Stegostoma tigrinum: one gene and its partner. The protein of the gene in region 1 binds, or shares a complex with, the protein of each later gene. Links are inferred from orthologs where the notes say so. Each region holds a gene or a part of one and is shown in the gene's direction. Other genes may lie near its edges. The genes, in order: low-density lipoprotein receptor-related protein 5-like and fzd8a.

The links.
Region 2: low-density lipoprotein receptor-related protein 5-like (region 1) and fzd8a share a complex: the UniProt entries of both Homo sapiens proteins name them as parts of the wnt-signaling complex. The link is inferred for Stegostoma tigrinum from reciprocal best matches to the Homo sapiens genes LRP5 and FZD8.

What each region holds. Positions count from the first base shown.
Region 1 is NC_081370.1:25,819,414-25,832,732, forward strand, and holds the start of low-density lipoprotein receptor-related protein 5-like, read left to right. Parts: upstream 1-8,206; 5' UTR 8,207-8,419; coding exon 8,420-8,474; intron 8,475-13,319. UniProt on the Homo sapiens protein: Acts as a coreceptor with members of the frizzled family of seven-transmembrane spanning receptors to transduce signal by Wnt proteins.
Region 2 is NC_081355.1:131,099,022-131,111,392, reverse strand, and holds fzd8a (frizzled-8a), read left to right. Parts: upstream 1-6,917; 5' UTR 6,918-7,575; coding exon 7,576-9,345; 3' UTR 9,346-9,366; downstream 9,367-12,371. UniProt on the Homo sapiens protein: Receptor for Wnt proteins. Component of the Wnt-Fzd-LRP5-LRP6 complex that triggers beta-catenin signaling through inducing aggregation of receptor-ligand complexes into ribosome-sized signalosomes.

The sequences.
Region 1 (13,319 bases):
CATCATCAGTGCAGCCTCTGATGAAGCGCTGTTGTGTTTTCCTGCCTGTTATTTGAACTCTGGAGTCCGTTGAGCTGGATTACCTCATGTCCGGTTTTCCTTTGCAGCGGAGTGTAAATGGGGTCGAGCCTTATGTGTTTGTTGTTGGCTTTCTTCATGGAATACCAGGCTTCTAGGAACTCCTGTGCTTGTCTCTGCATTGCTTGTCCCATGGATCTTGGTGTTGTCCCAGTCGAATTGGTGGTTCTCCATATCCATGTGGATGGAGATGAGTGAGTATTGATCGTGTCTTTTTGCAGCCAATTGATGTTTATGTGCCCTTGTTTTTAATTTCCTTCCTGTTTGTCTAATGTAGTGTTTGTCACAGTCTCTGCAGGGAATCTTGTATATGACATTGATCCTGTCCAGAGTTGGTCGTGGGTCTTTGGTTTGTGTGAGCAGTTGTCGTACAGTTGATGTGGGTTTGTGTGCTACCCTGGGCCTAGTGGTCGTGGGAGTCTTGTGGTCAGTTCAGATGTGTTCCTGATGTGAGGTAGCGTGATGAGTGTGTTGTGGCGTGTAGTATCTTCTTGGTGTTGTTCATGTAATGGGCATCTTTTGACCCAGTTTTTTGGATATCCATTGACTTTGATACCTGGAAAAGGTGCTCTTCTTCTTCTTGGAGTCACTCTGTGCTGCTGCAGTGGGATGTTGTTATTCATCCACGTGGATAAGGAGAACCACCAATTTGATTGGGACAACACCCAAGACCATGGGACTAGCAAAGCAGAAACAATCATGGGAATTCCTCGAAGCCTGGTACTCCACGATGAAAGCCATCAACAAACACATAGAGCTCGACCCCATTTACACTCCACTGCAAAAGAAAACTGGAAGTGGGGTAATCCAGCTCAATGGACTCTAGAGTTCAAATAACAGGCGGGAAAACACAACAGCGCTTCATCGGAGACTGCACTGATGATGTTACCCAGCAGGGTAATGAAATGTCTGCGGAAAAACAATGAACAAGCTCAACAAGCCAACCAACCACAACATCCACGACCTGAGCTACAAATCTACTCTAAAATCTTAGATTGAAACTTACACTAACAAATGTGAAAATGTTTTTTAAGATGAAAAGTTTTTAGTAAAAGACAAATCAATCTTTTAAAATGGTTAATGGCATTCAGATAAATGGGGCCAGTATTTCACAGAAATGTGCTTTTGCATCCAGAAAGGATCCTGGCTAAGAAGTTTGAGATAAAAAGGTATAGAGCTGGATGAACACAGCAGGCCAAGCAGCATCAGAGGACTAGGAAAGCTGACATTTTGGGTCTGGACCTTTCTTCAGAAGGGCCTTTTCTGAAGACCCGAAATGTCAGCTTTCGTGCTCCTCAGATGCTGCTTGGCCTACTGTGTTCATCCAGCTCTACACCTTGTCATCTCAGATTCTCCAGCATTGGCAGTTCCTACTATCTCTGGCTAAGAAGTTTGATTGGACAGTTAAACTGGTTGCAACTAGGACTAGATTGGATGCCAGTTAATGCAGTATGGGAATTGATAACTGTGATAAAATATGCTAATTTCAGGAGTCTTAAGAGCAAATAAAATATTATAAAGGGATTAAATTCAGAAAAATACACAATCGTGCTTTGAAGCCTTGGATGACCCCAAAAGACATAAAGCTATTCCTTTTTAGTGATGTTACACATGGCAACTTTTAGGATAGCTATTTAAGTACAACAAGGGCTATCATATACTTGATGGACAACAATAACAAATGTCTGTTGGTCTAGGAAACCAAGAAGCTAAAACGCACGTTCAATATAATTTAGTTGCTGTAACATTGGCAGTAGCAGAAACTATAGATACGCAGGTCTATTTATCCAATACTTTAAAGGAAATCCCAGATAAGGGCACTCTGAGAAAGGTTTGCCCATGGAATTTTACGTGGATAACCATTCTCTTTGAGATAGTGAACATTTGACAAAGAATTAAAGATTGGCTTTGTCATACCTTTTCTTATGGCCATAAAGAAAAGATTTCCAAAATAAAGAGACTAATGCATCTCTTCTGTTGTCAGCCAATTAAATGAAGAAGTTGCTTGCTCTAAGAAATTACTGGAGATCTTTGGAGAGGGTAGCATGATAGTATGAGGAATTACAAGCAAATGAAGAAACAAAAATCAGTTTTTGTTTGGATTATTTTGTGGTTAAGCATCTATTTTGTATAAAAGGTGGATTATGAAAAGTTGGTATATGGAATAATTTTTAAAAATTGTTTTGTATCATTGTTTTTATTTAAGAAATGTCTGAATGTCTTCAAAGAGTTATTAAATTTTTTTCTCCTTTTGTTTTCTTTTCCTCCTCCTTTTTGTTGTTCTACTCTTCTATTCCATTCTTCCAAATCACCCAGGTCTCTAGTTAAACTAACTGTTTACAAACACCGATTTCAAAGATTTTTATTTAAACAGAAGCATTTAATGATATAGCCAACAGTAGAACAGGTTACTAGGGCTGATTTCTTCCTTAATTGCTTGGGTAGATGTAAATGAAGAATGTAGCTGCTCTCTAGGTGCAGTGGATGTGTCCCCACCTCTGAGCTAGGATACTCAGATTGAAGTCCCATCTGGTCCAGAGATGCGTCAAATATCTCTGACCAGCTTGATAAGAAAATACTGGTGTGTTAAGGAGCTGTAGTAAATAAACTCTATCCATAAAGAAAGATGTCTTGGTTTCTGTAAATGTAGTTATAAAACTCAATTACATTTGTTTTTGCAAAATACATTATTCATATTATCACTTAGTTGATATAATATTGTTCCTCATCTTCTGAGCCAAAGCAGCAGGTTGCAGTTGGTCTTGGACCAGTCAGTACTTCTCTTCGAGCTCATTGTGATGATTCAGGAGCTTCGGTTTCCCTTCTAATCACTCTATGTACCTTTCTTTCGACTGTTTTCAGCTTCCTACTGTGCTTGTTCTGTTTGGTTTGACGCATTTGTATTTGCACCCTTAAATATTTTTAGCACATTTTGTGGTTTGACACTAATTTCCAATTAAATCATTTTTCAATTCTGACATAGTTTGAAACTGCATCCACAGTTTGCTAATTTGCTGTCTGAACACAACAATATTATTCTTAATTTTTTCCAAGTTCTATTTGATATGTTGACCATTTTGGACTGAGGTTCAGAATCTCCCTCTTGTATGCCTCCTGCTAACTGTACAGAAAGCACTTTCTCCCTCATTTGGCCCTTTTCAACATGCCATATTATGTTCTGTTCAGTTTTTAATGTTTCCAGGTTAGTGACTATACTGCTGGAGCTTTTGAAAATCTTGTTCTTTCGCTGTCTGACTTACTGAATTTGTCCTTTTCCCTCAATCAAAAATGCTTTGTGTCTTTCAACAACAATATTGAGAATGCCAATGTCTAACTTCAACCAATGTATTTGGCTTTGCATCAGGTATTACCGAGGCTCTGTAACTCAAGAACCATCTTGCTTCTGATGACAGTGTGGTTTGGAATGAATATCTTACCTTCAACATTCAGAGAAGTTTCCTTCTTACTGGATTAAATTACATTCCCTACAGTGTGGAAACAGGCCCTTCGGCCCAACAAGTCTACACCGCCCCTTGGAGCATCCCACTCCAACCCATCCCCCTATAACCCACCCCTGAACACGACAGGCAATTTAGCGTGGCTGATCCACCTAGCCTGCACATCTTTGGACTGTGGGAGGAAACCGGAGTACCCGGAGGAAACCCACACAGGCATGGGGAGAATGTGCAAACTTCGCACAGACAGTTACCCGAGGCTGGAATCGAACCTGGGTCCCTGGCACTGTGAGGCTGCAGTACTAACCACTGAGCCACCGTGCCGCCCTTCTTATGGTTTACTGAGATTAACTGCAGTGCTTTGCAATTACTCAATTGTAAGAACGTAGGATCATTTGTCTCTGAGATATAAAACGTGCAGTTAACATCTGTTGTGATTCCCTATTATTTGAGTTGTTCCTGTCAAATCTCAAATTCCTTAATCAGCTGTTCAGATGATGTTGCTTTGTTTCAGAGCATCTTCCCTTGTGCAACTCGTTACTTTAAACTGTTTAGAGAAATTAATCTGATGTAATTTGAATGGGATAACATACTCTAGGTTCTAGTTTCAAGCTTCAGGTTTACAGTTATGAGTGTTTCTCACCCTCTTCCTGATCTGAATGGTTATTTAAATTTAATTTCTCTCAGGACTGTTTCATGCATTTGTATGGTTCCAATCATCGTCTTCTCAAATTTACAGCCACCTTCTCAGGTATTAGTGTTTTGGTTTCTTTTCTTTCTCATTTATCCTGCTGCTTTGCCTCTAGTAGCCCATGCATCATGTTATTTGTTCTGTACATTTCTCCCCAGTGACTGAATATTCCATAAGTTCCGCACATAGTGAACTCATATGGTCATTTACAGGTCTTACACATATTGCTGCCTCGTCCCATTCTTGTGTTGTTGTTCCACTGAATCAACATTGATCCTATTAAACAAATCTGAATCTATCCCTACTCGGCACACGATGAAGCCAATCCTTTTGCCTTCACTGCTGCCTTTTAGAAAAAACCATCTGGAATGTCAATCTGCACTTATGTTTAAACTTCAAATATTTCTATGACATCATCAACATCCTGATCTGGAGCTGTATTTTTACTACTGTGCTAGTGGCTATTCACTTTTGTACAATTCACACTTTCTTTCCCCTCTGACACTAATTTGAGTTTGAGTTTTATTTTTCTCAATCTAATTCAGCATTTATTTCATACTCAAACATCTGCTAGTATCATGTTAAGGTCTCATGATTCATTAGAGTTTGAAATAATTACATCCTTAAACTCAAATGTTGCAGTTTAGGTTAATCTTTTCCACAGCTTATAACATAGGCAGGAGAATAGACCATTTAGTCTCTTGAACATGCTCATCATTTAATTAGGTTATAATTCTGCAACCAAACTTCACATATTTATCTTCACCCATATCTCTCAATTCCTTTCGGCAACAAGAACCTATCTATCTAACTCAAGTAAAAATTAATAATTGATCTCGCATCAAGTGGACTGATCTATCAGTCTTTTATCCATTTCCTCGAACAATACTTGCTCACAATATTTCCGAATCTCATCAAGGCATCATTAACAGGCTACCCAGATTTCTGCTTTGGGCTTTCAAATTCATACTAATGGACATGGGTGCAGATCAACTATAACCTCATATAGCTCACTTAACCAGCATTTGAGGACCTATGAAGTACAAAGTTATTAATTTTGCAGCATTTGGAGCACAAGTTGGCTCATTTACAGGAGTATAGAAGTCAGAGGGTCGAGTACACTTTGTATACTTCGCACAAGTCGTTCTTCCTGGGATATTAAAGATGGTCCAGAAAGGCCATGAAACAAGAAATGAAGCAAAGGAGGACTTTCATTGCAATATTTTCTTCAAAATTAAATATATTTGTGGCTAAAGTTTGATACTTTCTCAGGTTTAATGGCCCTTGTCATTTTTCTGACCAATGTGAGACTCTAACATTTATGGTAGTGTCAAAATTGCCAAATCCAAAACTGAGTAAGAATAGCACCCTTTCGTAATACAACTATTCACATCCTGATAATGCTCACATAATGTGCCTGGGGTGTTTTGTTCTGTTAAAAACATTCTCTCAATACAAGTAGTAATTGCATTCCCACATGTCTGTCCAGACTTTGAGAGTCAGCTTGGAAAACACCTTGCAAAACAAAGCTGAATAGGAATTGCTAAGCTCTCATTACATTTTTTGAGAAACATTTAACTAAGTGAATCTGCTGTATCTAAAAGACTTTAATACAATAGTACAGGATATTGAACAAATTACATTTCAGCACAGTAGCAGACCATTTTACTGGACTTGGGGATTATTTTAACTACTTCTGCCTGCTCTTGCTAATTTCTCTTTTAAGACCTATCTGCCAGAGTCAGTGATCATAAAGTTCTCAAGGTCATGAAGTAAGCAGGCTGTCAAATTGATGTGGAAAGCAGGAGAAGGGTTGTCTTCCCCTTGCCATGCCACTTGTCACTGGTTGGAAAAGTGGCATATTACTGGGGAGTTCAAATAAACTATTTAAGTCATCAACTGTCACCTGAAGGCCACGCCACGTCTCTGTGACCATTTTGCCTGGGTCAGTAAGGCCTACTGGCACATGGGGAAAAGTTGCCTGCGGCAGTGAGCATCCCTGAGCCTGCCTTTTGCCACAAGCACAGTATCCATTTGACCCTCCCTTCCCCCGCCAAAATCACATCATAAGTCCGGCTTCCTGAACAAAGCCCAACCCCTTCAAAGAGCCTGGTTATGGAGCTGGAGCTGCCACCTGAGCAATAGCCACAAGTACTGCTGCCAAATTGCTAGCCCTCTAACTGGGCTTATAGCTCTTGGTGATGGAACTCCATCCTTAATTATTGATAGCACTAATGTCAGCCAAGATGTTCTCACCGCATGTAGCTGATCCACAGCTTCATGTAGCAATAGCAGAACAGCAGTAGACCATCAAGTCCCTCAAGCATATTCTGCCTTATGCAAATCTTTTTCCACCCAAATCACAAGTTTCAAGAAGATAGCTCTCCTTCATTTAAAAAAAATCAGGGTTGGCTATCAAATCCTGCCCTTGCTAGCAATGCCTACATCCCCAGAACAAATCTAAAAACGTAGACGGAGTCTGGTTCACCAACTTTTTTCATGGTTAGATAAAAGTAACAGTGACATTATTGATGATCATTTCATGTCAGGAATGTCTTATTTCCCTGATCACTATCCCTGACTTCTCACAGTGCAGGTTCCTAATCTCAACTAAAGTTGAGCTGCTTTCCTCCGTGAGGAGAAAATAGGATGGTGTCTACTAATGCACACATCAAAAGTTGTACAACTACAGGTCTGAAGCAAGAAAGCCTGAGAAAAAGAACCTATGGCACTACAAAATGTAGTTTTACATTTCCCGAGACAGAAAACACCTGATCTTATATTGCTGCATCTCAAAGTCAATCACAAGATACTCCGATGTAATTGATACTCAAACACCGTTCTGTTAAATGTTTTAAAAGAAAACATGATCATTTTCAACACTGTTTACAGCACTGCAGGTCTACCTAAATAAGGTGTAGCTCCAGAAGGCAACTCACCGCCACCTTCTCAAGGTAACTAGGGATGGGCAATAAATGGCTAGCCAGCGAAACCCACTTCCAAAAGAGTGAAAAACTGATCGGCATATCAATACTAAAACATGTAAAACAAGGGCGCCCGGACAGACATGACATTGGGTCTTTGTGGGCTGCATAGCCTCATGGCTACGTACACAATTTAAATGCATGTTTCCGTGAAGCCACGGATACCGACCCAATCAAACTTTTATTTCAGATCTCCAGCTCTCCAAAATCAAACACAATTAACAATACAAGTGTAAGTTGAGTCGCCCTCATTTGAACGTTTCGATTGGTAAGGTTTGGGCGAATCCATGCTTCAGGGATTTTTTGGCAAAGGGCCGCTAGGCATAAAATTAACATTGTTTAAAGTTTTCCGGGGTAGTCAACGAAAATAACCATATTTACTCTATTCCACGTTCAATGGAATTACAGGAAAAGGGATCCGTGAATTAAGTCATGAGGTGCAACTCATAAAAACAAAGGTCCTTTGCTGTTTCCCTCAATACCAAATGGTGGCAGTATTTTTTGCATTTCAAGGGGAACCGCACGGGAACCTGGCTAAGTTTTGGAAACGCGATTTTGTACAGAATCTGAAACCTTTGCCGCCAGTTCTTTACAAGCAGCAATATTCACAGCAGTGGGATTTTTATGTTCATGCTTTCGGCATCAGAGAAAGCTGTTTACTCAGGGAGAAAATGAACACCGCTGCTGCACGATTTTGAACACACGCCTGCAGACTGAGGTCCATAAAACAATGACAAAACCACGTCCAGAAAACTTAGCAGTGATGGCTATGCGCTGTACTTGAACCAACACACTTTCGAAAGTCCTATGGCACTGATCCAAATGCAAGAATTCTTCAACTCAGCCTGACTTCCATTCTTTGGGTAGGACCCGCCACTTCCCGCTTCTCATTGGTCCGGAGGTGCTTCATAATTTGGCAACATCAAAGGCTGAACGTGCAGAGGCGCTCTGCTGATTTGTTAAGGGGAGCTGTCAATCAGAAGTAGGGGTGTCCCCGGCCTTCCGCTGGCGACTGTTCGGTCGTCGCCGGTGGAGGTTTGGGGGGTGGGCGGTAGACAGACAGACAGACAGAGAGAGAAGGGAACCAGCCGGGAAAGTACTGGAGACAGGGCAGACAGGCAGGCTGTAGGTGGATCGGCACTGTCTGTATGGTGATACATGGTAACTATGGGGCCTGAGTGAAACATTTTCACTTCTTCATTCAGCTACAAATGGAGACTTTGTTATTAACGTTGATCGCTTTTAGCCACTACTTGTTTGCAACAGGTAGGTGTGGGTTGTGGGGAAGGTGGACGGTCACTGCTTGTTTGTTATCTACGATCGGACCGTGGGCTCCGCGCTGTTGTTGGCCCGTGCCGTGTGACTTGTAGTAAGTAGGGATTTGAAGACGACCCACTGTTGGATGTGTTTTCTGACAGAATACTCTTCACAGCCCTGTCGTAGCAAAGATTATTTTTGGGGGGGGGGGGGGTGGAATTGGAAGGCGAATTGTCGTGTCCTACATAAAATATCTTTTCAGTCTAGACTCCACTTCTTCGATTGGGCTTTCTAGATTTTGGAACGTACAATGCAAAAGTGTGCCGTTGGTAAATTGAAATCGGATGTCTGTATGAAAAGTGTATTTGGAAAACAAAATACATTAAGGTCACAAAAGCAAGAGTTTGAGACGTGGTGTTAGATGTCACTTCCCCGTGCACTGCTAAGTTTGTCAACATCGAAGACGCGATCAATATGAACTCGTAATCAATGCAATACAAACATCAGCCAAATGTTACTGCTAGCAAATAATTTGGGTTAGTGAAATCAACTAATTTACTTGTTTAAATGTGTGCATGATGTTTTTGTTCGAGAAATTGGAAAATGTACAGCTTCAAGAAGTTGCCCGTTTCGAACTGAACTAAATTGATTAATGGATATCATCTAACACAGAGCTGGAAACCTGCAGCCTTTTCTCCCCCCAAGAAATCTGGTGAGGTAGTGAATATGTTGAATTTTTTAAAAAAAGGATAGGTTTTGCAAGGTACAAATTCGAGGAGATAAACTAACGCTGATTCAAATAACAGTTTTGGCCAATTTGAGCTCATTACAAGGCATTAATATACCATTGTATATCCTACTAAGATCATGTGCATGATCTGCGATCCAATTCCTTAGTACACTTTAGAAAATTTTAAATCAGATGAGTTTGTTATTATCTTTTTTTGCAATATTGGAAAGTGATGGCTTAGGGTAGCTGGTAGGTTCACTGACGCAACATTTATTTTTTCTGTTAAGCCTCTTCAAAGTGTGTGTCCAAATGTAGTTGGTTAATATTTAACATTTTTGTTGTATATTAAGGTTTTTGCAGGTTCTTGTAAAGATTAAAATTTCAGCCATCAGGTTATATTAAAAGAATCAGTCACCTTAATCTGAAAACAATAAAGACCCATAAAGTTCCATCATCGTATGATATCTGGGACACAGTTTTAAAATAACGAGCCTTTCATTTCAGACAAGGGTGGAGGAAGAATTCCATTTTTTTGATCAAGGGTGGCCAACCTTTTCACATGGGTGTGCATATGTAACATTTTCTATTCTCGGAGAGGCCAGTGAGCATGTTTCAGAAAGATGAGTTGTTAGAACAGTAAACAGAACTTCATGCAAAAGTCAAAAATGCTAAGCTAATAAATATGTAATTAATAGAAACCAGCAAATGGAGAGTCATTGAGATTCGAAATGTAAACTTGCTCTCGCTCTCCATGGATGCTGTCTGACCTGCTGTAATCTCCAGTATTTGTCGATTTCGTTTCAATGTCAGGGTGTGTTAAGGCCAGGAATATGGACTGTAGTGTAGTGGGATTAGGATCAAAAGAATGGCAATTGCATCTCATGGATAACGGGCATTCGGAGAAGGCATGAAGAACAAGAAGAAAACTGTGAGTTCTCATCCACTAAAGAGGAAAGGCTTCAAGGAAGTTTTGGCCTGGTGAGGAAGAGGAAGGAAGGGATGTGACAAAGCAGCTGAACTTATGATGTCATATTTCGTGACAAAGATGACCGTGGACTTTGCCTGTGAACAAAAATCATCTGTTGAGGTGCACTGTGTTCTTGCACCATTTTCCTGCTTTTAATGCTCGGTGAAATGTTGCTTAGGTTCTCATGGAAAGTAAAGACTCTTTCTTCTCATCACAACTGACTTGTTCTCCCAGAATATAATACCTGTGACTAGATTTTACTGTTCCAATATTGTTCATCATTTAGAAGCTTTTTATTGCCTCTCCAATTTAAGCATGAGTTTATAAAACTATGTAATAGTAACTTGCATCTAAACAGTGCTTTTAACATGGTAAAGCTGCTTCTACCTGGATTGTTAAAAATATTTGACATATAATATTTATAAGGAGAAATTATGATGGACAACTAAAAGCTTGGTGGAATTGATAGATTTTAAGCAATGAGAGAGAGAGGTAGAAAGGGTTAGATGTTTGTGGATGAATACTTTAGGGCCTTTGAAAGTATAGACAGTTGTGGTAAAGCTTCTAAAATAGACACTGTGCAAAAGGCTGGAGTTGGAGCAGCACAGAGTTTGGAAACAGAGAGCAAAGGTTGTTTGCTGAGAGCACTGCAAAATTTTCATACATGTCAGTTTAATAAGCTCATCATTGAGAAACAGGGTTCTGATTTTGTTTAATGTGTTGCATAGGAAAAAATATCTAATGTTCTTCTGCGTTTATGTTAAAAACAACTTTGAATATTCTTGTTGATAAGTTCAAGAGATTTTTAAAAAAAGCCTAACCACCAATGTAAAACAAAACTGGCATCTAAGCTGACACATAGGAGCATGATTTTTGTGACAGGAAGAAGTGGCAATAAAAAGGCATTTCTAACAATGATCACCTTTTTAAGGCCCTGTTATGTCTTCTGATTTTTGTATCACAAAAGATGTTTATAAATGGGGATACTTTTCTTTTTCAGTTACGACACGTAGAAAATTATAGGCCCCTTGCACTTGAAATTATGTTGCGTAGCAGCTGCTTTGAACATTTTGCATCTGTTGGAGTCTATTTAAAAGTGTACAAATGATTTACTGTGCTTCAGAAATTTAAATTAAGAAACTCAAAGAAGAAAGGAATGCTGTTTCTTTCATTTTTTTGTGACTGCCTCAAATTTTGACTTTTTCTTATTGTGAGTTTTGATTGATATGGTTATGATCACTTCAGACAGATCAGCTGTTCATATTTTCCTTGCAAGTACATCTGACACCAGAATCACTTATTGACAGAGATAATAGCTTCTCCATCTGCACTTTATCTGAAGATTTGTTTTATTTACAGGTGGTAGAAGTATTGAAACACGTGCAGAATACTTCGTGTACATTTGACAGCACAACTCTGGTTTTGTTTACAGCTTGCAGTTAAATATTGTCAATGCAAGATTTACTGAAACTAATGCTTACAGTGTAAACAGCTGACAGATGTTTCTAACTGAAATTGATAAAGGATTAATACTTTAATAGCTGATCTATTCAAACTATTATAATTATAATTTCTAACAGGTGCAAAATTAATGTGTTGTTACATTATAGTGTTGTCACTTTGCATGTTTAATATACTGTTTCCAATAAGTTAAATGGAAAACTAAACCTAAATTAGCATGCTTCACATACTGTACTTTAAATTACACCAATCGCTGTCAGCACTATACTTCACTTGATACACTTGACTTATATACCCTGATATGCTGTCCCGATACTCGCCATCTTTGAAAAGAAAAAGTGATTTTTTTTGTGGTAGGCAAATTTATTATTTTTATCTCTATAATTTTCTATAATAAAATGCTTTGTTTGACAGGTGTTGATATCATAAGACACATTTTACAGCAGCAGGGCAACAGTTAGATATTGAGGGAACATGGTCAATAGCATTTCTGCCAGTATTTCATTTTACTCAGCATGGATTTCTGAGGTCAGTGCACAGCAATGACTTCCAGTCAATGCTGCACTCGCATGCTGACACTCATCACTGTGTGTACCCCCTCAGAGTGGCTGTATGCACATGCAACCATGCATCTTAGAGGGAATATTGACAGTCAGCCCAATGGAGAAGTGAGACAACAATCAAGTAGCAAAAAGAACCAAAGAACCCCGGATGCTTGAAATTAGAAAACAGGAACAGAAATTGCTGGAAAACTGCAACAGGTCTGGCAGCATCAATGAAGACAAAGCAGAGTTAGTCTTGTTTTGGGTCCACTGATCCTTTTTCAGAACCAAGTGTGCTTAACTGGGAATTTGGTTTCAAACTGGGAATCATCTGAATTGGGGAAAGAGATGTTTCATTTACAGTTTATTGCAAGAAGTGTGTCAAGCGAGGAGTTTAGTGAAGGCTAGAAAAGAGGGGCATTTTCTTCTGCTACTCTATTTCTTTTCAATCTCCAGCATTTGATTTTTAATTTCATGCTGCAGAAGGAGCAGGTAAATGATTAACAGGTATTAAAAACTGTTGAGTTTTATCAATATTGTAAGTATTGTGTTCTGAAGTTTACTGTCACTGCTTTTGGGCGGTGTTGGTTGTATTAATCATAAGTTAATTAGTTAGCTGCAGCTCATAATTCACACATTGGCAGCACAGCTCATGTGCTAGATTGCAGAATATGACAGCTTCTAGATGCCAGTGTGATCAACTATTTGCAGTAAGCCCTTGTGGCTTCAGAATCTTTGGCTCAGAGCCACAGGCATTGAGGATCATCAGAGAGGGAGAAGGTTTCCAGGATCCAGGAGCTCTTTTGGACGGGGTCTTCTGTTTGAGTCCGTATTCAGGGAAAGGAGCGTGTAACTAAGTGCGATATTTAAGGGAACCTAGACAACAGTATTTTAAGCCTTTGTAATTGTTTAATAGGTTTGAGGTTTTCTGCACTTGTCTGGGTGAGAGGGAGGACAGCAGTTTGGGTGAGTTCATGAGCCATGGCACCATGGTACAAGAAGTCATCCTGGACAGGATTGTAAAAAGGATTGTAGTGGAAGTAGGAGACGGCAGAGTCAGGGGTATTGACACTCTTATCTGTAGCAGAGAGTGTGAGAGATCGCTGTGTCGCCTGCCTGGTACTAATGTTCGGGACATTTCCTCAAGGCTGGAG
Region 2 (12,371 bases), on another chromosome or scaffold:
AAGCCTCCATACCACCCTTGTGTAGAAAGTGAGTACTGAGGTAGGTGGAGGGTTAAGAAATGAAATGGAACAAACTGAATGGTTTGCAACAATATGGAAGATAGGAGTGATTATGTGACAATTGAATGATGGTGCAAGGCAATATGGGTGGTACTGACAGTAAAAGAAAAGGAAGCCAAATATGAGTCTGGAGGAGCTAAATATGACAAAAGCAGAACAATTGCCACATCAAGTGCTATTCCAAAAAACTGAAGTAAGGTTTGCTGTTCTGTTTAATAAATGTTAAAAAATGATCAATTGTTTATTTCTCAAATACACTTAAAATCTGCAGCCGAGGATATTCACAACATGCAAACATAATTTTTGATCAAGAACATTGTGTTGTGTTCTGTAATGTTCATGAAATATGTTAAAATAGAATGAAGAACCAAAAGATAAGCTAAAATAAATAAAACGTTCCCACAATGAGTCAAAAGACTAGAAATGTTAACACAATCAGACCTGCTGAGGTTTTCTAGCAATATCTGTTTCTCAACTAAAAGATAAACTTGTACTTCTATAACGCCTTTCATGACTACACGATGTCCTAAGAGTTTTACACCAATGAAGTACTTTTAAAATGCAGTCACAGTTGTAATGAAGGAAACTTGGCAATCAGTTTTGAACACATTGAGATGTCAGGAACAACTGGGTAATAATAACCAAATAATCTGTTAGTGATGCTGGGTGAGCAGCAAATATTGAGAGAATTCCATTGTTCCTTTTGAAAGTAGTGCAATGGAATCTTCCATTTCAATATGAAACAGCAGACAAGATGATCATTTAATGACTCCAACAATGAAGTAGTTCCTTGGTATTGTATTCAAGCATCAGTAGATTCTATGCCCAAGTCTCAAGTGGGACTTATGAGACTTAAACTTTAAAGATGACTGATACAACTTGACCACAATTAACATCTAGTTAAATACTTACTAACCAGTTAATGTTAAATTCAGTGATTTTGCCTTCAGCCAACTGCCAAACTTAACTCTAGGTGAATCATTTGTTTCTTCCCATCTTCTTGCCCTGCCAATTAAGTTTTGACACATTTAGTTAACATGTGGATAGTACTATACTGTTGCAATAAATTACTTTGAAAGTTATCCAAATATGTCAAAACTTTTAGATTTCTCAAAAGCTTTCATTCATGTCCCTAAAGTGAATAGATAGTATGATGCATTTCTGTTTATTTTTTCACAGAAATTATAGAATTAGCTATTTCAAAATGGAAAGTATGTATAGTGTTTTGAGATGTGCAGGCACTGAATTCACATTAACATCTTTCCAGTCATAACTCATTTCCTTTATTGTCAACTTATCGGCATTTTCTTTTGTTAACTACTTATGTAATTGCCTGGTAATCTTGTGATTGTCTCAGATTCAATGGTCACTTTTGATTGAGCCTTCTATGTTCTAATAATATTATAAGTCAGGATTATCTGCAATATCACATGTCAGCTAAATCACCTCTTTTAGTCATTTAGTGCTCATACCAGCATAACTAATGTTAATAAAGTAATTTCACGATAGTGTTAAGAGGATTGTGAGCTCACACCTCACTCAAGGACATGAACGTCTTACTCTAGGGGAAGGGCTTTTGTGGTACAATGGTTGTATCCCAGCTTTTGAGCCAGTCAGCTTGGATTTGAGTCCTGCATGCTCTCAAGGCATGTCAGAATATGTCTGAACAAGTTAACGTATCTACAAGCAGCCAGGATGGCTCTTGTGGTGCAGTAGCTATGTCCCTATCTCTGATCCAGGAGTTCAGGGTTCAGAAGCCATTTACTTCAGAAGTGTGTAATAATCTCTCTGAACAGTTTGATTAGGGAAATATCCATAATTCTAGGGCATGTTGTTATGAGATTGTCAGATATTTTGGATGAAATATGGAAATCAAGTGTTTCCTGTAAATGCAGACGCCATAGACCCTGTGGAACAACTAAGATTTCCCCAATAAAAAAATGAATGAATGATTTATTATTACATATATCTTTAAGATATAGTGAAAAGGTGTTTTGCAGACCTGTCTTCTACATTCAAACAACACACAATTAGTAAATATTCATCCCCCAACTGTTCGTACAATCTTCCTGTAAACAAATAACTACTGTAGAGATATAAGGCACTATATATTCATTTTCTTGCTTTATTTTTGTAAAGTAGCTGACTTGTGTCATTATAAACAAGGAGGATGAGAAAACTGCTGATAAAATGTCTCTACTACAATAGGGGGTATTTCTGTGAAGACAGGAAGATAATACACATTGGGTAGAGGACAACACAGAGACTCCCTAATGCTTGATAACAAAGTGTGGAGTGGATGAACACAGCAGGCCAAGCAGCATGTTAAGAGCACAAAAGCTGACGTTTCGGGCCTAGACCCTTCATCAGAAAAGGGGGATGGGGAGAGGATTCTGAAATAAATAGGGAGAGAGGGAGAGGCAAACCAAAGGGGGATAGAGGAGAAGATAGGTGGGGAGGAGAGTATAGGTGGGGAGGTGGAGAGGGGATAGGTCAGTCCGGGGAAGACGACAGGTCAAGGGGGCGGGATGAGGTTAATAAGTAGGAAACGGTGGTGCGGCTTGAGGTGGGAGGAGGGGAAAGGTGAGAGGAAGAACAGGTTAGGGAGGCAGGCACGGGCTGGGCTGGTTTTAGGATACAGTGGGGGAAGGGAAGATTTTGAAGCTTGTGGAATCCACATTGACGCCATTGGGCTGCAGAGTTCCCAAGCAGAATATGAGTTGCTGTTCCTGCAACCTACGGGTGGCATCATTGTGGCACTGCAGGAGACCCAGGATGGAGATGTCATCTAAGGAATGGGAGGGGGAGTTGAAATGGTTCGCAACTGGGAGGTGCAGTTGTTTATTGTGAACCAAGTGTAGGTGTTCTGCAAAGTGGTCCCCAAGCCTCCGCTTAGTTTCCCCAATGTAGTGGAAGCCACAATGGGTACAGCGGATGTGCAGGTGAACATCTGCTTGATGTGGAAAGTCATCTTGGGGCCTGGGATGGGGGTGAGGGAGGAGGTGTGGAGGTGTGGAGGCAGGTGTAGCACTTTCTGCTGTGGCAGGGGAAAGTGCCGGGTGTGGTGAGGTGGGAGGGGAGTGTGGAGTGGACAAGGGAGTCGCGGACAGAGTGGTCTCTCCGGAAAGCAGACAAGAGTGGGGATGGAAAAATGCCTTTAGTGGTGGGGTCGGATTGTAGATGCCGGAAGTGTCGGAGGATGATGCGTTGTATCTGGAGGTTGGTGGGGTGGTATGTGAGGACTATGAGGATTGTCCTCCACTAGTCCTCACATACCACCTCAGCAACCTCCAGATACAACGCACCATCCTCCGACACTTCCGCCATCTACAATCCAACCCCGCCACTAAAGACGTTTTTCCATCCCCACTCTTGTCTGCCTTCTGGCAAGACCACTGTCTCTGCAACTCTCTTGTCCACTCCACATTCCCCTCCAACCCCACCACACCCGGCACTTTCCCTTGCCACCGCAGGAAGTGCTACACTTGCCCCCATACCTCCTCCCTCATCCCCATCCCAGGCCCCAAGGTGACTTCCCACATCAAGCAGATGTTCACCTGCACATCCGCCAATGCGGTATACTGTATCCGCTGTGCACGGTGTGGTTTCCTCTACATTGGAGAAACCAAGCGGAGGCTTGGGGTCTGCTTTGCAGAACACCTACGCTCAGTTCGCAATAAACAACTGCACCTCCCAGACGCGAACTATTTTAACACCCCCCTCCCATTCCTCAGACGACATGTTCATCCTGGGTCTCTTGCAGTGCCATAGTGATGCCATCTGTAAGTTGCAGGAACAGCAACTCATATTCCACTTGGGAACCCTGCAGCCCAATGGTATCAATGTGCATTTCACCAGCTTCAAAATCTCCCCTCCCCCCATGCATCCCAAAACCAGCCCAGCTCATCCCTGCGTCTCTAACCTGTTCTTCCTCTCACCTATCCCTTCCTCACACCTCAAGCCGCAGTTCCATTTCCTCCCTACTAACCTCATCCTACCCCCTTGACCTGTCCGTCCTCCCCGGACTGACCAATCCCCTCCCCACCTATACGCTCCTCTCCACCTATCTTCTCCTCTCTCCATCTTTGGTCTGCCTTCCCCCTCCCTCCCTCCCTATTTATTTCAGAATCCTCTCCCCATCCCCCTTTTCTGATGAAGAGTCTAGGCCCAAAACGTCAGCATTTGTGCTCCTAAGATGCTGTTTGGCCTGCTGTGTCCATCCAGCTCCACACTTTGTTGTCTCAGATTCTCGAGCATCTGCAGTTCCCATTATCTCTGGCTCCCTAATTCTTGTCTGCTTCACCTCAGCATGAAATCTTTCCCTTTCTCTTAGAGTCCTGACAGTGATATGTGAGGCAAAGGAGGATGTTGCAGTCGAACCTAATCGTACCATAGCCGACATCCAAAGAAAAATTTACTACCACTTAGGAGTCTCTCCCTCTCCATCACAAAGATACTGAAGCCAAATGTAGTGCTGCCTCATCTGAGCTTGCTCAGTTTAGATCATGAATTGAATCTTGGACCTTTTTGGCTGGACCATCATCTGTTTCCTGTGATAATGAATACAAAGGAAATTGGAAGATATTCTTTCTATATCACTTGGGAACCTCTCAATTCAGAATGCATTTAAACAAACGTTGCTAAACTTTAAAGGGTTCAGGTAAGATTTTCAAGGATATTGCCGGGGTTGGAAGATTTGAGCTATACAGGGGAGGCTGGATAGGCTAGGACATCTTTCCCTGGAGCATTTGCGGCTATAAAATCAGGAGGAGGGGCATGGATAAAGTAAATAGCCAAGCTCTTTTCCCCTCAGGTGTGGGAGCCCACATCCAGAATGCACAGGTTTGTGGTGAGGGGAGAAAGATTTAAAAGCAACCGAAGGGGCAACATTTCCATGTGGGGGTGCTGCATGTATGGAATGAGCTGCCAGAAGAAGTGACAACTGATACAAGCAGGTGGAGGCTAGTACAATTACAAAATTTTGAAAGGCATCTGGATAGGTATGCAAATAGGAAAAAATTAGATGGACATGGGCCAAATGCTGGCTAGTGGGACTAGGTAAGTTCAGAATATCTGATCAGCACTGACAAGTTGGACCAAAAGGTCTGTTTCTGCGCTGTATAACTATGTAATTTTAAATGAATTTGAAATGGTAAAACTGACTGGAGTTTACACTCTAAAACAGATAACTTCAGGAGTTTACTTCAGAAACACCCAAGAGTGTAGGAAACACACCACACAGCTACAACATTTCATTTAGAACAATCTTGATAACATAATATAACTTCTTAAGATTTTTCTCGTTACTAATTTTACTTGCCCTCATTATAGTTAGGTTTGTGATACTTTATATCAGAACATGACAAAAAGATTACATTGGCCATTGGTGGACTGTACCTATCTGTTGATTAAGGCATCATTTTTTTTCAAAGACACTGTCCTTAGAGCAGCCTGTATTTTTATGCAGCTTTTTATATTTCTATGATATTATGAATGAAAGCTAGTTCAAATATGATCGCTGCACTGCATCTGTAAGTAACTCCTTTATTGAAAAAATACATTCACCGGCGAATTCACTTTGCACCGAATGTCATCAGCCTATTAAAAATAAATATTTGTTAAATATAGTGCTTCGAACATTAAGTTTGGAAGGAGAGCAAACAAAGCGGAGGCGTCCAGTCTTCAGATACTTCAGTCTCTAACCCTGGTACTATTTCGGAGCTGCTACTAATGTTACTCACTGTGTAGTAACGTATATACATATGAACAGCGTGGATCCCATTAATCATGTGTAAAGGCATCACACCAGGCCATTTCACAGTATCCAAAAACATCATGTCTAAATGCTTCGCGATATTTCTGTGAGAATGAAATAGCGAAGGAGGCGTTGTGGTTCATTCAGTTGAGTTTAGGATGGGGTGTATCGGGGCAGTCTTCGGGGCGGGGGAGCGGGGGGTTGCAGAATGTGAATTGATAGAACTCGGACTGCACTTCGAGTCGAGGGACGCTCAACCCGGCTCCAAAAAAAATGCATAAACCGCGATCAAGGTCCTTGCGCTGAACTGCTTTGCACTTTCAAAAATACAGCAAGAATAAATAAACGCCAACATTAAAGTGGAGTTTTGGCCATCGCTGAAATACATAGGCGAGTGCGGGCAGTACTGAAATGTACAAAACCGGAAAAGAAGACGAAAGTTTTTATCAAAGTTTATTCGAAACGGGGCACGTCTACAATCTTAAAACTTGCTGCAGTGTCTGCCCGTTCAGACTCTTAAAGCGTAGCTAAAATGTGTTCAGTTGTAAATTCATAGCAGGACACAATCCCTCGCTCGAAACTCGTCCTATTTTCGCGCTGTTTATATTTCCCTCCACTGCAAAAAAAATCTAGCAAAATCCGCCACCTGCTCTCTTGTTACGGGACGGAAAATGCTGGAGATACTCAGCAGGACACCTCTACATTGTTCTTTATTTTTTTTTCCTTAATGCCCATCGCCTTTAACTAACTCAAGTTTCCGTTCTTAAAGATGCAGCAGTCCCACCTTCTGCGTGAGTCTCTGGTCGAATGAAACATCGGCGCTTCAATTCAAACAAAAAACCCAAACAATTCCTGTACGAGGGGGAGGGAACTTTAAAGACAGCCCCCTGCGAGGAACTAACAAGCGAAAATTAACCTGCTAAACGCCCAGCCCCTCTGGAAACTGTCACTGTGGGATTCTTCTCTGAGGCGAGAATGGATTGACAGACGCTGTGTCTCCCTCCACTCTCCCTCCGCCCCTGTCATCGTGTGATTGGTAACCCCGGCCTGGGAGGGGGTGGGATTTGGCTTTCTCACGTTATAAATATACAACAGTATTAGGTTCTCTGCGTTCGGTGATCACTTAATGCGACGCGGCGCTCGTATTTAGTCCTGGGGAATTTTGTGTGGTTTTTGTTTTGTTTTGGGGAAGGGTTGGAAGAGGAGGGCCACAACAGTCTGAAAGCAACCCACCTTCCAAGACCCAGTACAACCAGCCAAAAAAGGGAGAAGCCCTGGTCGTCTTAAAAGAAGCAAAAAAGTTAGGAGGAACTTGTGTGAAGTTTTTGTTTTGGGAGGGGTGAGGAAAAAGGTGCAGTTGTGGCCAGCTTAGTCAGACCGGCCTGCGTGAGCTGGGGAGTGGAAAGCTCATGTTTTAGTGGCTCGTCCTCTGCGTGAAGTGGACCGCAGCCCGATGCCCAGGCTGAATGTGTGTTGGCTGTTGACCCGCATGTCGTTCTGAGATCCGGACTGAGGAATTGGAGGGGGTGCAGGAGGCTGGCGGGTGCTCCTGGGGGTCGGGGTTGGGGCAAGAGGAGGAGACGGAGACAACTTGCACTTTGCAGCTGGACTCGAGGATTCTATCTTGGCGTTTGTTAAAGCGGGGGGGGGAAAGAGGAAGTTTAAGAAAAAGATAGAATCAGTGCTGGCGTGAAACAATTTTTTTCTTTCTAAACAAAATAAGAATAAAAACCAAGCCTGGAGGGTCTGAGGAGGCTGCAATGGAGTGCTGCTACCTGCTGGAGCTGCTGTTGGCCGTGGTGTTGCTGCAGAGGTCGAGCGGAGCCTCGGCCGCTAAGGAGTTGTCTTGTCAGGAGATCACCGTGCCTCTGTGCAAAGGCATCGGTTACAACTACACCTACATGCCCAACCAGTTCAACCACGACTCGCAGGACGAGGCGGGCCTGGAGGTGCATCAGTTCTGGCCGCTGGTGGAGATCCAGTGCTCGGCGGACCTGCGGTTCTTCCTGTGCAGCATGTACACGCCGATCTGCCTGGAGGACTACAAGAAACCGCTGCCGCCGTGCCGCAGCGTGTGCGAACGGGCTAAGGCCGGCTGTGCCCCCCTCATGCGGCAGTACGGCTTCGCCTGGCCGGACAGGATGAAGTGTGAGCGGCTACCCCGGCAGGGACAGCCCGAGACCCTGTGCATGGATTACAACCGGACCGAGGCGACCACGGCGGCTCCGCTCTTCCCGCACCGCCCCCGGGCCCCTCCTGCGGCGGCAGCGCCCCCGGCCGCCGCTCCCCCAGGGCCCGGGGCCAGCCGCCGGCCTGCCGTTCCACCGCAGCGGCCTCCTGCCCGCTGCGAGCCGGGCTGCCACTGCCGGGCCCCGATGGTGCCGGTGCGCAGCGAGCGCCACCCGCTCTACAACCGCGTGAGGACGGGCGAGGCGGCCAACTGCGCGGTGCCGTGCCACGACCCTTACTTCACGGCGGACGAGCGCAGCTTCACCGCCTTCTGGCTCGGCCTGTGGTCGGTGCTGTGCTTCGTCTCGACCCTGGCGACGGTCGCCACCTTCCTGATCGACATGGAGCGCTTCCAGTACCCGGAGCGGCCCATCATCTTCCTGTCCGCCTGCTACCTCTTCGTGTCGGCCGGCTACCTGGTCCGCCTGGTGGCGGGGCACGAGAGCGTGGCCTGCAGCCGCCCGGCCGCCCCCTTGGAGCCGCACGTCCACTACGAGACCACGGGGCCCGCCCTGTGCACCTTGGTCTTCCTGTTGGTGTACTTCTTCGGCATGGCGAGCTCCATCTGGTGGGTCATCCTGTCCCTCACTTGGTTCCTGGCCGCCGGCATGAAGTGGGGCAACGAGGCGATCGCCGGCTACTCCCAGTATTTCCACCTGGCCGCCTGGCTAGTGCCCAGCGTCAAGTCCATCGCCGTGTTGGCTCTCAGCTCGGTGGACGGAGACCCGGTGGCCGGCATCTGTTACGTAGGCAACCAGAACCTGAACAACCTGCGGGGCTTCGTGCTGGCCCCCTTGGTCATCTACCTGTTCATCGGTGCCATGTTCCTCCTGGCCGGCTTCGTCTCGCTGTTCCGCATCCGCAGCGTCATCCTCAAGCAAGGCGGCACCAAGACCGACAAGCTGGAGAAGCTGATGATCCGCATCGGCGTCTTCACCGTGCTCTACACCGTGCCCGCCACCATCGTGGTCGCCTGCTACTTCTACGAGCAGCACAACCGGCCGCACTGGGAGCTCACCCACAACTGCTCGTGCCTGAGCGAGCAGGAGGCCCGCCGGCCCGACTACGCCGTCTTCATGCTCAAGTACTTCATGTGCCTGCTGGTGGGCATCACCTCGGGCGTGTGGATCTGGTCAGGCAAGACCCTGGAGTCCTGGAAGGCCTTCTGGACACGCTGCTGTTGGGGCAGTAAAGGGACCGGCGGCTCCATGTACAGCGACGCCAGCACCGGACTCACCTGGAGATCTGGCACCGCCAGCTCCGTGTCTTACCCCAAACAAGTGCCGTTATCCCAAGTCTAAAACTGTGGAGCTCTCTCTCTCTCTCTCAACCCAGCGTCTTATTAAAATGTTAGTGGACATCTAATGGTATCCAGGAGTCAGAAGTGAAGGACTGACCGGAACAGTGTACCTGGCACTGATACTTCACGAATCGTAACCATTTTTATGCGCACGGCGTCCATTAGCTGTCCAGATGTGTGAGGGGAAACGAATTTCTATCGTGTCCATGACCAGAAACTTTTCAGCCAGTCGCGATTTTATGATCATTGCAAGGAGTCGATTGGTCACTTTTAATTGATGACATTTATGGAAATAATTTAAATAGAGGAATGAATGGCGTACTTGACACATTTCTTAATGGTGAAAAGCCTGGGTGCATCAACCTGCCTTAAAATCCTTTTTTTGAGTATCCCTAAGTAATACGGGTTTCATGCAAAGTTGTATTTATATAATTATTTGTACTATGAACACAAATCTGTAAATTGTGTACATAACAAAAGCGTTTTTGAGGTATATTCAGAGTATGTACATTTTTTTGTATATATATAAAAAAATTTAGTGGCTGCCTTTGCAGGAGCACCAGGAATTATTTGAAACAATTATTCTATTTTGACAATAAAACAACTTTTGATTTTTAATTACTTTTGGAACATGCTCGGCAAATCTTTTCTGGGCGGGAGGGGCAGGAGTGGGGAAGAGAAATGTGCATTTTACTGGTGGGTAGTTTGTTGAGATATCAGTTTAGGAGCAACTGAATATTTTAGTAATTGTTGAACTTTTTACCTGGCTGCCTACTGGCTGAGTACATAATTTCTTAAACGAGGCTCAATTCAATAGGGTTAATCTGTAGGAGTGAGCCTTTTGAATCGGGTAACTTTGATGTCTCGTTTCCAAGCTTGAAGTACTTTTTTTCCCCTCTCTTTCTCTCCACCACCCCCCCCCCCCCCCCTTTCATTTCTAGCCTCCCTTGTTTTCAAGGACGTCGGCCATGGTGCCTTTAAAAATGAATAAGAAGGAACGTTTCTGAGACTTAACTCGTTTAAACGGGGGGGACGAGTTGTAACAGTTAGTGAGCACGAAGGGAACGGGGAACAGTCTTTCAAACAGCTTTTTCTGCATTGTTGACCAGACTGCAGGCAGTAAGGCATAGGCCTGAACACATAGAAATGCCCATGAATGCCCTACAGGTGGTCCAGCTCGCATAATCCCCCAATTTAAGGCGCTCTCCTTTGCAAGACAATTGCATTACAAAGCCCTCTCTCTTTTTTGCTCCTAATTGAAGCAATGGGCAAGAATTATAGAATACAGGCCTTTTTAAAAAAAACTGCATGGCAATTGCCTGGACTATAGTTGCAAGCCGATCAACGAAATAGCAGCGTTGTTCAGGCGAGTGTGCGCTCCTCATGAAAGGGCATTTCACTCTTTTTAGCAGTTTGGGGAACATAAAGACAAACTATGCCCAGTACGCACGCAATTTTATGGCAGATTAGTGATAATTTAAAAGTAATTGGGAAGGCTGCGCGTTCGTACTCGGGGGGGGGGGGGGGGGGGGAGATGGGGAATTGCCCCCCGGGGGGGAGATGGGGAATTGCCCCCCGGGTCCAGCATTTGTCAATCGAGATAAGAGAGGGGACAGTTAGTCCCATCTCTCTGAGGTCAGACCAACTGATGACCAAACCATCCATCAGGCACTAATGCAAGCCAGCACTTACTGAGGGTTAATAGTATTAAGTTTAACAAGGCAATGTTAATCTGAAGTTTCCATTCTCCACTCCACCTGGATGATACGAAATTATTTCCAAAGTATTAATTTTGTGAACATAAGCTCTATGAATTCGGTTATGCACTGCACGAAGTATCACTTGCACGTTTGGCTTGTACGAAACAGATAACTTACAACTTGAAAGGGGATCATTTCTTGAATCCATGTAGAGAATTTCCAGTAAAATGTGTGGAACGTTTTTTTTTCGCCCGCGTTATTAGCATTTTTTTCGCGTTTTGTGGCGACCTGTGGAACCACCAGTGGTCGGGGCTCAGTGGGTGGCGTGTGTACGTTTTATCACTGAATTTAATCAGAAAATGTCAACAGATTCAGCAAATAAACCGGCTTGAGGATGCCAAACACGAGTCATGTTGCAGCAGCGGGAATAGAATTGGCAGGCCTCTTGATGTGGAATAAAGGATTCTTTCCCAACGTGTTTACAAAGAAACTTCCCGAACCGTCCTTTCAAAGGTCCTAGTCTCTGGGCATTGCTGTAACCCACTGCGGTTACTTTTACGGACGTCTTGTTAGTGGCTAAAACAGCGTGAAAAGCGCTTGAAAAGTTGAGTTTCAGTGTAGTTAAAAGATTGACCAGAAACGGATATGTATCTCAACTGCAAGTTTTTAACTGAATTCAGGACAAGAACATGAACGTTTGTGGAGTTACGTCCGAATGGGCCCAATACAAACCGACAGTGCCCTACATTGTTTTCTGTCTGCAGATTAGAATAAAGAAACTGGACACACCTCAAGTCTTTGCAATGGATTTGTGAACACGTTCAGTTTATCTCTCGTTTTATTCTCCTGGTCTACAAAGATCTTACATTTTCACAAATGCATATTGCAAGGCTCCACAAGAATGGTAGATTGCCGAAGTAAAAAGGTTGAAAATATTTCTCCTGTCACTCCACTCAAAAACGGGGTGAATAAAAACTGAAAGAACTGCTGTAAATCGGAAACAAAAACAGAAATTTCTGGAAAAGATCAGCAGATCTGGCAGCATCAGCTGTGCGCCGATGCTACCAGACCTGTTGAGCTTTTCCAGAAATTTCTGTTTCTTTTTGTTGAAAAAGAAACAGCGGTTTGGCGGAGCAATCTTTCACGTCAGCGGCGGGGTGATTTCCGAACCTACGTCCCAACGAAGACCAACCCCAGTATTTACATTCCTTTAGCGACTTGGCTGGACGGAATTAGTTGGTGCAATGTAGGGAATCTTGGGAATGGAGCCTTTGACAAAGTCGAGGTCCGTCCCAGCTGGATTCTTAAAATACTGCGGTGCTATTTT